Linked DNA regions of Rattus norvegicus. The protein of the gene in region 1 purifies or fractionates together with the protein of each later gene. This does not show direct contact. Links are inferred from orthologs where the notes say so. Each region holds a gene or a part of one and is shown in the gene's direction. Other genes may lie near its edges.

Region 1 (3,514 bases):
GGAAGAGCAGCCAGTGCTCTTACCTGCTGAGCCCTCTCTCCAGCCTGACTCCTCTTACATTCTTTTTTTTTTTTTTTTTTTTTCTCGGAGCTGGGGACTGAACCCAGGGCCTTGCGCTTGCTAGGCAAGCGCTCTAACACTGAGCTAAATCCCCAACCCCCTCCTCTTACATTCTTGCACTACAACTAAACCAAATTGCTGGTGCTGCTCCTGTTTTCTTGCCTTGTGTACCTTTTGCTTGCATGTGTTCTGCATAGAATGTTGCTTCCTCCAAAACACATCTGAGACTTGTGCTTTTGTGTTTCATGTTTGACTGTAAGTTGTTGTTGGCCTATGTTAATTATATATGATATTTTACTATGGTATTTCTGTGTATATGAACTGATTTTTATCATTGTTCATCCTTTATTATTTTCTCCTAAAACTTTCTTTTAAGTGGTTATTGAAGGGGGAAAAATAGTATCTTAACATGTGTTTCTATTCTCTAAAATACTGAGCTTGTAGATGTCTAAGTTTTTAATAGGTAGGTCCAATGTTTTAGTAAACCAGGAGAAAATGGGATGGCATTTTGTGGCTTTTCTAGGAGTTTTCAATGCTAATTGTGAATGGAGCTGCCTGTTTATGTTTCTAGATGTGCGCAGTCTGCATATCTAAGGACGTATACAGTTGCTGCCCTCCTTAAAGTTTCTTGAGGATGGATTTGGTCTGTTTTCTGTAGAACAGCATTGGGAAAGATCTTGTCCTCTCCTCCTCTTTCTTCCTCCTCCTCCTCCCTCGTTCTCCTTATTTAGATGTAGGGTTTATGTATTCTAGAATGTACCTCAAACTCACTGTGTATATTTGAAGATGCCTTCTGGTTTTGTGCCTCTAGCTCTTGGCTGCTGGTATTACAGACATGCCCACCACACCTCTTTATTTAGTAATAGGGATTGGAACCAGGGCTTCATGTATGCTAAGAAAGTATACTACCAGCTGAGCTATATTCCCGAACCCCAGAGTGGCATGTTTGCGCCCCCCCCTTTTCTTGTCAAAATCTAACAATGAAAACTGTAATACAAAAGCAAAACAAACCACTAACATACGTTTCTGTATCTTATATGAATGTATACACATAAGCATATAGAGGAGATGGAATGTATTAAGACTATCTAGGAAAGAAGAGAACTTCCTTCTTCGGAGAAAAAGAAGAAAGCATTTGTTATTGGGTGTTTTTTTTTGGGGGGGGGGTTCTGTTTGTTTGTTACAGATTTTCAGTATAGCTGTTTGTCCTGGAACATGGTTTGTAGAGCAGGATGGCCTTGACTCGGTAAGATTGACCTACCTCTGCTGCTTCACTCCTGCCTAGCAAAGAAAGGATTTGTAGTAGTGAATTTTTAGAGAAAAGAGCAGTAAGGTGAGCCTGGCATTGGCTCATACTTGTAATGCCAATACTTAGAAGGCTGGAGCGGAACCCTTAGTTTGAGGCAACTCTGGTCTACATAGTAACAGCCTGTCTAACAGAAAAAAACAAATATACAGACAGGCTCAGTTAAGGGCGTATTACAAGGTGATAGAGCAGTTGCCTAGAATGCTTGAGGTCCTGGATTCAGTCCATGGCACCACAAAAACAAATCCTTTCCACTTAGAAAGACATAACAAGGACCCAGACAAATGATCTAGTTGGGAAGTGCTCACTATACAAGCTTGAGAGCCTGAGTTCAGACCCCAGCTCCCCAAAGCTGGGTACTTCTAGTCCTGTAATTCAAGTTCTGAGAGACTCCGTCTCAGAAAACAAGATAGGGGGAGTGTCAGCTCAGCTGTTTGGTACAGGCATCTGCTGCCGAGCCTGACAGCCAAGTCCATGCCTCAGGATCTACACAGACGAAAGAGTGGACTGATCTTGTGGTTCCTGATCTCTAGACCATAGCACCATAGCACACACTGATTGTTGTGGTTCCTGATCTCTAGACGTGCACCATAGCGCACAGACACTTGCCTTCCCATATAACCATACTCATACTAATACATTGTCCTAAGACTGTTTTAGAACTCTGTATGTATGTGAGTGCAGGGGCCTTGGAGGCCAGAGGTACTGGGTCTCTCTGGAGCTGGAGTTACGGGCAATTAGTTCTGAGCCTCCTGATTCCAAGTTCCAAGAGAAACTTGGTTCTCTGTAAGAGCCTTGCACACTTACCATTGAGTCGTGTCTCTGGCCCCTGAAAAGTCATTGTAAGTAACTAAATAGGTGTGTTAAGTTGCGTATGATGGTGAGTACCTGTAGAGCAAGCACTTGAGAGACTTGGGCAGGAGAATTACAAGTATGAGACCAGCTGGGGCACATAGACTTTGTCTCAGGAAAGTGGGGGAAGAGTTCCTAGTGATAGGGAAAATTACCTGTGATGGGAAAAATACCATAGGTCTTTAAGAAGAAAGACCTGTGGCATGCTAGAGGGTAGGAAGTTATGGGGACAATGGGAGGATTTTACTGCAAACACTATCCAATCCTGGGATAAGAATTGAGTTCTGAAGGTAGTGGGCTCATGGCTCTTCATAGCTTGCTGAGCTCGTCTCCTTTGTCTGCACATAGGTTCTTTCTTTGTTGTCCAGGCTTTCCTTGAACACGTGCATTCCTTGTGCCTCAGCCTCTTGAATGATGAGATTACAGGAGTCACTTAATCACACCACCAGTGCGTTCAGTTCTGTACGTGCACTCAGCTCTGTACAGAAGCATTATGGCTAGGAAAAGTCGTTGTGAAGGGAACATTACTGATTTCTTTTGACATTTCCCCCACTGTGCGTGTATTTGGCATTTCCCCCATTGTGCGTGTATTCAGTTGTCACAGGAACTGACCTGTGACACAGCAGTTAAGAACTCCCTAGGGTGGGGGCTGGGGATTTAGCTCAGTGGTAGAGCGCTTACCTAGGAAGTGCAAGGCCCTGGGTTCGGTCCCCAGCTCCGAAAAAAAGAACCAAAAAAAAAAAAAAAAGAACTCCCTAGGGTGTTATTTCCACAAGGTAGATTGCCTTCTTATCATGCTGGTAATTGTTCTGCTTCCCCCCTTTAGGTGTAGATGTCAGCATGAATACGCACCTTAAAGCTGTGAAAATGACCCTGAAGAACAGAGAGCCTGTACAGTTGGAAACATTGAGTATTCGAGGCAATAACATTCGGTATTTTATTCTACCAGACAGTTTACCTCTAGATACACTACTTGTGGATGTCGAACCTAAAGTGAAGTCTAAGAAAAGAGAGGCTGGTAAGTGTAAAGGTGTTTATATATAGTGTGACTCACTGTTCAAAGTATGTTTGTGAACAATGGTACTCTTGTCGCTCAGAACATCGTGTGCTTGTCTTAGTACATGTGCTACGCAGAGCTCCTGGTGCTGCTGTGGAGAAGAGCCAGCCCTCCAGTCCTCTCTGCTGTTCTTTTCTTCCATGGAGTCTAGATTTGGGGGCTGGCTGCATGGCTTCCCTGTCCTCTCCCTCTACCACTTGTTTAGATGCTTGATAAATACTTGTAAATTCATTGTGAAT
Region 2 (3,514 bases), on another chromosome or scaffold:
CAGGATCTCTCAGACCAGCCTCAAACTCACTTTGTAACTGAAGACCATTTGACTTTTGACCCTCTTGCCCCTGCTTTCCAAGTACTTGATTAGAGGCGGACATCAAAAGAAGCACTTGGTTTTAGCATCATTGGTGGGAAGGAGAACAGTTGACAATCAAAGCAGTGCAAAATATTTAAGCTTTTTCCCTCTCACAGTTCCTGGAGGGTCAGATGGTCCAAGTGGAGTGCTGATCTGCTCTGAGAATTATATCACCTACAAGAACTTTGGTGACCAGCCAGACATCCGATGTCCAATTCCCAGGAGACGGGTAAAGTCTACCATAGAGCAACAGCTGACTAGGGAATGAATTAGCTTGTTTGTTTGCTCTTAATGATCCACCATAGTATCTTCCTCTCTCTTCTATTTATTACTCTGTGTGCATGTATGCCATGGTTCGTGTATGGAGGTCGGAGGAGAAGCTGCAGGAGTCAGTTTGTCCTTCCATCATGAGGGACTCCGTTTGAACTCAGGTTGACAAGCGTACTACCTGCTGCACCATCTCACCAGCTTAGTCTCTTAAATTTGTCTGTTGCCATGTTTTGGTTATGTAAAAAGATAAGTTGCTTTTCTAAAACTGGGTATGTTTTAAAGGGGAAATTATTAATTAATACTTTGGAGTGCAGGGCTTTGTGCACTCTACATATTAAGCAAGTTATCACTTTATTAAGGTCATGTCATTGTGCGGGTACAGACTTAGGATTTTTTTTTTTTTATAGATCGTAAATATTCTTCCCTTTCTGGTCTGTTCATTATGTGGATACAGTACCAGTCTTATTACTGAGTCAGTTCTTACATTTTTCCTCCCTCAACTTACATATTTTTAATATTGGTTCTGGGTCAAACCTTATAGGTTAAGCGATAAAATTTAATCTTGTGAAAAAACATTGAAATCGGCCTGTTGATCAGACATTTCCTAAGCCAGGAATTTGTATTCGTTTGGGAGCAGTGAAAAGGTATAAAACTTATGAGTTTGTATGCAGAAATATTTTTTAAAATCTTGAAAACATTTAACAACTCCAAGCACTAGACTTATTTGTAGGGGAGTGGGAACTTGGTACTACACAGGCTGGTGGTGATGGATGGTTTCCATGGCAGTGTGGATGAGTGTGCTTTTTGTTTTTAAATTATTATGTCCAGCCTGAAATGATGACTATTTAATTCGTGTCTCTTCTCTGACATTCTCCTCTGGAGATGATTTTTGCCTTGCTGATCTGATGAGGCTGCAGAGTGGAATATTAGCAGTTTCTTGGTCACGGGGTGGGGTGGGCAAGCTTTAGTTGTTAACAGCTATGGTGGGCAATGTTTGCATCTTAGTCCTTGAGTAGTCTGTAGAGTTCCTTTTTGTAAAAGATGAATTCCAGAATACTGAGTTGCTTATTTCTAAGATGTTGGCTCTGTTTCTGGTTTTGCCAGAATGACCTGGATGACCCTGAAAGAGGAATGATTTTTGTTTGCTCTGCCACCCATAAGACCAAGTCCATGTTCTTCTTTTTGGCCCAAACGGAGCAGGGAGATATCTTTAAGATCACTTTGGAGACAGATGAAGATATGGTAAATAGAACATGGATGGAGGGGGAGTATCTATTTGCTGTAGTCTATCTTGATTTTTAATTTGAATATAATTTAAAACCTTTGTCTAAAGTACCTGCTGTTTGTGCATGTAAGATTTACAAAGCTGTTTTACTTTTTTTGTTACTGTTTTTGCTTTTTTGAGATGGGATTTGCCTTGCCAGTCATAGCTCTGTAGACTAGGCTCACTTAGAACTCAGAATGTGCTTGTCCCTGCCTCTTGAGTGCTGGGGTTAAAGTGTGTGCCACCACTACCTGGCTCTCAAAGCTGCTTAACATCTATACTTCATAACTTTTCCCTGCACCAAGATAGGGAGCAAGTGCAACTGATTCTCAACAAGTCAGAAGGAGGTCTTCCTTTTCAGAAGAGGAACTGGAGGGGGGTGAATCTGGGGGAGATGGGCTGGGAAAAGCCGGGAGAAGTGAAGGAGGGGAAACTGGTTGGGATGTATGGTGTGAGACCAGAATCTACTTTGAGTAAAAGAGGGAAAAATTTAGAAATTTAGATACATTAGAAAGTGGTTACCTTTTGGTTTGAATTTGAATTTGGGTTTTCTCATTCTGGCTAACAAGTATCTGACCTTGTAAAGCCACTTAAGATGTTTAGTTTTTCTCTGCTGTGTATTCTCAGTCCAAAGTAACTGACATTGAAGCAGAAAAAGCAGTAGCTATGTTTAACCCCTCAGGCTGGCTGCACTGTCCTTTGTTCACTTGTGGTGCACAGAGCAGGCTTCTGTGGCTAAGCTGCACCTGCCTATACACCGTCCTTCTGTTCCAGGTAACTGAGATCCGCCTCAAGTATTTTGATACTGTTCCTGTTGCTGCTGCTATGTGTGTGCTTAAAACAGGCTTCCTTTTTGTGGCATCAGAATTTGGAAATCAGTAAGTAATCCTTTTTTTATTTGTTTATTTATTCATTCATTTATTTATTTATTTTAGCTTACCACTATAACCCCTAGGTTACCACACATAGTAAAAGTTAGCAGACAGGAGGTGTTGGGGACCTTTTCATAGAATAGTTGAGGTTTTTCAGAAGTGTTGCTCTCGTTTTCCCTTTTTATTCATTCTCCCTATCCCTTTTCTTCTACTGCATTATCTTTTTTGTGGGTTTTTAGAGTTGTTTAAAATTACATTTTCTATGTATGTATACTGAGTGCATGTACATGCCCCACATATATGTAGAAGGTCAGGCGAGGCATCTAGAACTGGAGTTCCAGTGTTTGTGAGCTGTCAAGGTAGGGATGCTGGGAACCAAACTCAGGTCCTCAGCAAGAGCAGCAAGTGCTTTTAAAATACCACCCCAAGTCCTTCCTCCAACCCCGTTTTTGTGTTAATTTTCATTGTTAGCTTCCTTTACTGTAGTGAATTCCATTACTATCCTGAATGTCTGTAAGTATGGGCTGAGGCAGGAAGATCTCAAGTATGGGACCAGCTTGGGCTGCATAGTGAGGTGATTTTCTAACGAAAAGTAAAGCCAGAGAGATTTTTTTCTACATGTGCTCTCTTGTACAGACCTACAGTTGAAGTTTCTTCGTATCCACATTGCCTGCCTGTATCGCCAGTGTGCCTTGCTCAATATTTTTGTTTAATGGGCCTCTTCTAGTGACTTGTGGAGTCTGAGTTTATTTTTCCTCTACTCCTTTTAGTCAAGTGTACAAGTTCTAGTTTTTCTTACTACACTGTTTCCAGTCTAAATTTAATTTGCTTTGCTTTCCTGCAAAATCCAGTCTTTATAAAGAGTCAAACTTAACAAGATGGGACATTACCTTATTGATAATGTAGTTATTATGTTAGTGACATTATTTCCTGTATCTCAGTATTAACAAACTTTGATGGATTTTCATTGCCATACAGAAGAAATCTGAACTCTAATGAGCAGTTTAAGACCAGTATCCACAATTCC
Region 3 (4,285 bases), on another chromosome or scaffold:
AGATAGAAAACCAGTTGGGCAAACTCCAAAACCCATGTCTCCAGGTCCAATGCCAGAGCATCCTTCAGATCTCTAGCTCCTTTCACCCTTGTTGAGTGCTGTTGGCCCATGTGGCCCTCAATGGCAGCACACTTCATTCTCTTGGGCTGGTTCCACTGTTAGCAGCTTTTCTCAGCAGGTAACTGAGAAAAGGACTCTGGCATCTCTAACAGCTTGGGGTCTCCAAGGCAACTTCAACTTTACAGCTTCTTATTCCAATGTATGGGGTCCACAGAACATCTTCTGGGCTCCTCCAAAGGGCTCGGGTCACCTCTCCAGCTCTGCCCTCCGTAGCACTCTAGGCTCTGGTTGACTCCACTCCCCTGCTGCTGCTGTTCCTGGTGACCAGCCCATGGTACTGGCATCTCCAATATACTGGAGTCTTCCATAGCAACTAGGCTTCACCAATAGCCTCTCATAGGCTCTCCTCATGGTCTCAAGCCTCAACTACTTTGGATGACTTCCTCAGTCCTGGGCCATCAACTGTAACTGCATCTTCACCAATGGCCTTCCTTGGCTCTCACAGTGCCAAGCCTCAGCTGCTCTTCATGACCCCTTCACGTCTTCAAAACCAGTAGTACCCTGGATGACTCTTACACATTATTAAGTACAGCTTCTTTGTGCTCTCAGAAAACACTTCCCAGAAGATTTCACCTCAGTGATTCTGGTCTCTTCTTAATCCCTACTAATTTCTTAGCTCCAGATAAGAAGCATCAATTGTCCCAGTAACCCCTTCTATTCTTGACTCTAAAGTTAAGGCCATGTGGTAAAGCTGTTGAATTCTGCTGCCTGCTGGGGCTGGCCGCCCTTTATTCTATTACCAGCTTTCTGTTTTTCAACTCCCTCACTGCCTACCCTTGACTGTCCTGCAATTTGCTCAGTAGATTGACCTTGAACTCAGAGATCTGTATAGCTTTGTCTCCTGAGACTAAAAAATGTTAGCACCATGTCCTGGGCTCTGCAAGGAGGTATCAGGAGGAGGTAATGCTGAACCGAAAAACAGGTCTAAAGGTGTAGTTAAGTGGGGCTTTATGGCAACGGGTCTAATGGGAGAAGAATTCTTCAAAATGACAGGCCAAACAGAAAACAAAACGAAGGCAGGGGTTCGGGGTGTAGGGGTTAGGGGGGTTGCTGGGGTTACAGAGGAACCGGCCAGGGTCGGGAGGGGAGTTCAGCAAATGATGTAGAATGGCTTACCTGTCTCCGGCGTCGCAGCCTCAGCTCTGTGTCTGGCAAGCTCACAGAACTTCCTCCGGAGCGCCTGCGGCTCCAGGGATCCCTCGAAACTCTAAAGCAGGGCGCCCAGGACGCTGCCATAGCAACGGCGTACCGTGCCATCGTGCACGCGGGGCGGGGCTGGAAGTGAGACACGGCGAGGGGGCGGGGCCGGAAGTGCCTCCGCGGCTTTTCTCTGGGTCGTCGCCATCTTGCCATTGAGTTGGAGACTTCGTGTGGTGAGCTTAACCTTGTCGCCGTACCGGTTGTCCACACCGAGGCGGACTGGCAGCCCTGAGCGTCGCAGTCATGCAGGCCGGACCCGTGCAGGCGGTACCCCCGCCGCCGCCAGTAGTCACTGAGCCCAAACAGGTACCGTGCCCCGTGCTCCTCCGCCTGCAGTCCTGTTGTAGGCCTCGTTCCTCCACTCCCGCGCGGGCGCTGTGGCACTTCTGCTGGAAGCACAGGCCACCCTGAAGGACTTGGTGGGACTGCAAGTCCCAGGAGTCAGCGCGCCGCGTTGCCTTCTGGTCTCAAAAAGATTTCCCTAAACCGGACTTTTCAAAACTAGCCTGCGGACTTGAGCCTCGGCTTCCCCTGGGGGCTTATTTGAACCACGAAACCTCCATTCTAAGGAGGAGAGCCAAGAAAGCCATTCTTTTCCCTAGATTAGGAATGGTTGTATAAATACCGTATGGTTAAGAAAGCTTGCTTTGTTTTTAACTGCTTCCCAATGCTAGCTTCTTGGATGCTAACCCAAGAGAGTCTGCAGTCTGCAGGACACAGTCCTGTCAGTGGTATCATGGAGAAACGCTGAGGGCTGGTGTAGTTTTTATGATCTCCTAATCCAAGCCAGGGACTTGAAGACCTTACTCCCTTTTTCTGTTTTCACAGCCAAATGAAGAAGAAGCATCATCAAAGGAGGATTCCACCCCTTCCAAGCCAGTGGTGGGGATTATTTACCCTCCTCCAGAGGTCAGGAATATCGTCGACAAGACCGCCAGTTTTGTGGCCAGGTAACAGCTGCTGCTGCACAGTGGGTCAGGGGAATTGTAGTATAAAGGGCTTTTGAATCGGGCACCATGGGGTGTTTTAGAGGCTCTAGCTTAGGCTTCCAAAACCACAGTAGAGCAGTGAGGTAGGCGATAGACAGGACTGGTATCATTGACATACCATGATAGTAATCACAGTGAAAGCCCCATCTAGCTGTATATTTCTGCTTCCAAAACAAATCTGAGGAATTCCTGGTAGCACCTTTGTGACTGATACTGTGTGTATGCTGTGTGTTTGAGCTGCTGGCCTGAGGAAATGAGTTGATTTTTCTCATTGTGAAAGGGCTACTTTCCACAGAGACTCAAATGATCGGTTACAGATGAGCTAAGAGCAAGCTGTTAAAACTGGTCAGGATTTCTCTCAGCCTCTTCATCCCACACACTTCTACATCCTTGGATGCTATTTTCTGAGGACCACTTGACTCCCAACGGTCAACACGTCCCCTGACTTAGGGCATTTATAGAGAGAGAGTATTCTTTTGGCAACCAGCATCGATATCCAGTCTGCAGAGTTTGGTTTGTCCTTAGAATCCTTAAAAAAGAAAAATCCTATTGCCACACTTAAAAATGAGGTGATCTCACCAGCAGTCTGGATTTCTGTCTTTTCTTGAACCAGACTGCAATGTTTGGTTCCAAACTTCCTAATAAAGTGAAGCACCTCTCTAATAAAGATTCCGATTGATATATTTTCCCATCACTGGACAGGCTTTAATTACCTTGGATTTTCACTTAAAAGATGCCCTAAGATAGGGCATTGAGTGTTGTGTGTGATTGGCTAGTATTTCACAGCAACCCTTTTCCTAATAATAATGCATAAGGAATAAGTGCAGTCTTACTGTGAGGGCAACTCCTGCCCGCTGTTGTCACCGTTCACCGTTCATTAGTCCTTTGCCCTTGGCACCCGTTTTTAAATACGGTAATAACACAAGTACTGTCATGTCCCCATTCTCTTTGCATGCTAAACTGTAAACATTTCCTAATTACCTTTTCCTCCTGCTGTATGCTTTCTATGGCGAGGGTGCAGGGTGTCCAGGCTGTCTTCTCTTTGAGACTGTTTCCAGTGTTTCCACTTGGTCAGTGAAGCTGTACGAGGAGTTTGAACATTACCTTTCCCTCTTAGATAGTTTCTTTAGAAGAAAACTGAAACAATAGTGATTAGGAGAACATGGAAAGCTTCAGGGGTTGGGGAGACAGCTTAGTTCATTCAAGTTCCTGTCACAAGAGTAAACAAGAGCTTGAGTTTGGATCCCATGGTGTATAACCCACAGATACCCATGTTAAAGCAAGATTGAGCAATGGTTACATCTGGTAACCTCAGTACTGGAGAATAGAGACTGACAGATTCCTGGAGCTCAGTGGCCAGCAAATTGCTGTGCTTCATATTAACTAAGGTGGGGCCAGTGTATTCATGTATTCTGAAGGCAGGAGCAGGTTGATCTCTGTGCGTTTCGGGCCACCCTAGTCTACACAGCATTCTGATGAGCCAGGGATGCATGGACCCTATCTAAAATAAATAGGTAGATAAATCTAAATAAGGCAGGAAGTGATTGGGGAAGACAATGGACATGAGTATCTGGCCTCTGGGTATGGGTGCACATAAGTGTGCACTTAGAAACATCTCAGTTTCCCAAGTAGCTTTCTGATAATTGTGTCATCCTTTGCCTCCACAGCAAAAAAAAAAAAAAAAAGACTGACCAAGTTCTCTTAAAAATAAATACTTGTTACTGGACATAGTGATACATACCTGTAATCTTGGTGCTAGCAAGGAATGTTAGAGAGACTAGCCTGGCTACATGGTGGGCTCTATTTTAATGAAGGGAAATGGGAGCTGGAGAAGTGGCTCAGAAGTTAAGACCACTTTCTGCTCCTACATAGGACCTGAGTTTGGCTCCCAGGACCCATGTCAGGTAACTCACAGCTACAGAGTCTGAATACCTGCATGCATGCCCTTTAATATGCACTCGTGCACACAGAGTCAA

Evidence for each region. Proteins that work in one complex are often made in the same cells at the same time.
Region 2: the proteins of Snrpd1 (region 1) and Sf3b3 fractionate together in Homo sapiens (co-fractionation; 4 studies listed by BioGRID and IntAct, with this or other methods). This does not show direct contact. The link is inferred for Rattus norvegicus from reciprocal best matches to the Homo sapiens genes SNRPD1 and SF3B3.
Region 3: the proteins of Snrpd1 (region 1) and Sf3a1 fractionate together in Homo sapiens (co-fractionation; 4 studies listed by BioGRID and IntAct, with this or other methods). This does not show direct contact. The link is inferred for Rattus norvegicus from reciprocal best matches to the Homo sapiens genes SNRPD1 and SF3A1.

The regions. Positions count from the first base shown.
Region 1 is NC_086036.1:1,972,667-1,976,180, forward strand, and holds part of Snrpd1 (small nuclear ribonucleoprotein Sm D1), read left to right. Parts: intron 1-3,044; coding exon 3,045-3,236; intron 3,237-3,514. UniProt on the Homo sapiens protein: Plays a role in pre-mRNA splicing as a core component of the spliceosomal U1, U2, U4 and U5 small nuclear ribonucleoproteins (snRNPs), the building blocks of the spliceosome.
Region 2 is NC_086037.1:55,719,610-55,723,123, reverse strand, and holds part of Sf3b3 (splicing factor 3B subunit 3), read left to right. Parts: intron 1-197; coding exon 198-310; intron 311-1,176; exon of another isoform or gene 1,177-1,265; intron 1,266-1,455; coding exon 1,456-1,593; intron 1,594-2,389; coding exon 2,390-2,493; intron 2,494-3,514. UniProt on the Homo sapiens protein: Component of the 17S U2 SnRNP complex of the spliceosome, a large ribonucleoprotein complex that removes introns from transcribed pre-mRNAs.
Region 3 is NC_086032.1:83,253,540-83,257,824, forward strand, and holds the start of Sf3a1 (splicing factor 3A subunit 1), read left to right. Parts: upstream 1-1,473; 5' UTR 1,474-1,563; coding exon 1,564-1,626; intron 1,627-2,148; coding exon 2,149-2,270; intron 2,271-4,285. Other genes in the region: Ccdc157 (coiled-coil domain-containing protein 157), read right to left, coding at 1,237-1,473. UniProt on the Homo sapiens protein: Component of the 17S U2 SnRNP complex of the spliceosome, a large ribonucleoprotein complex that removes introns from transcribed pre-mRNAs.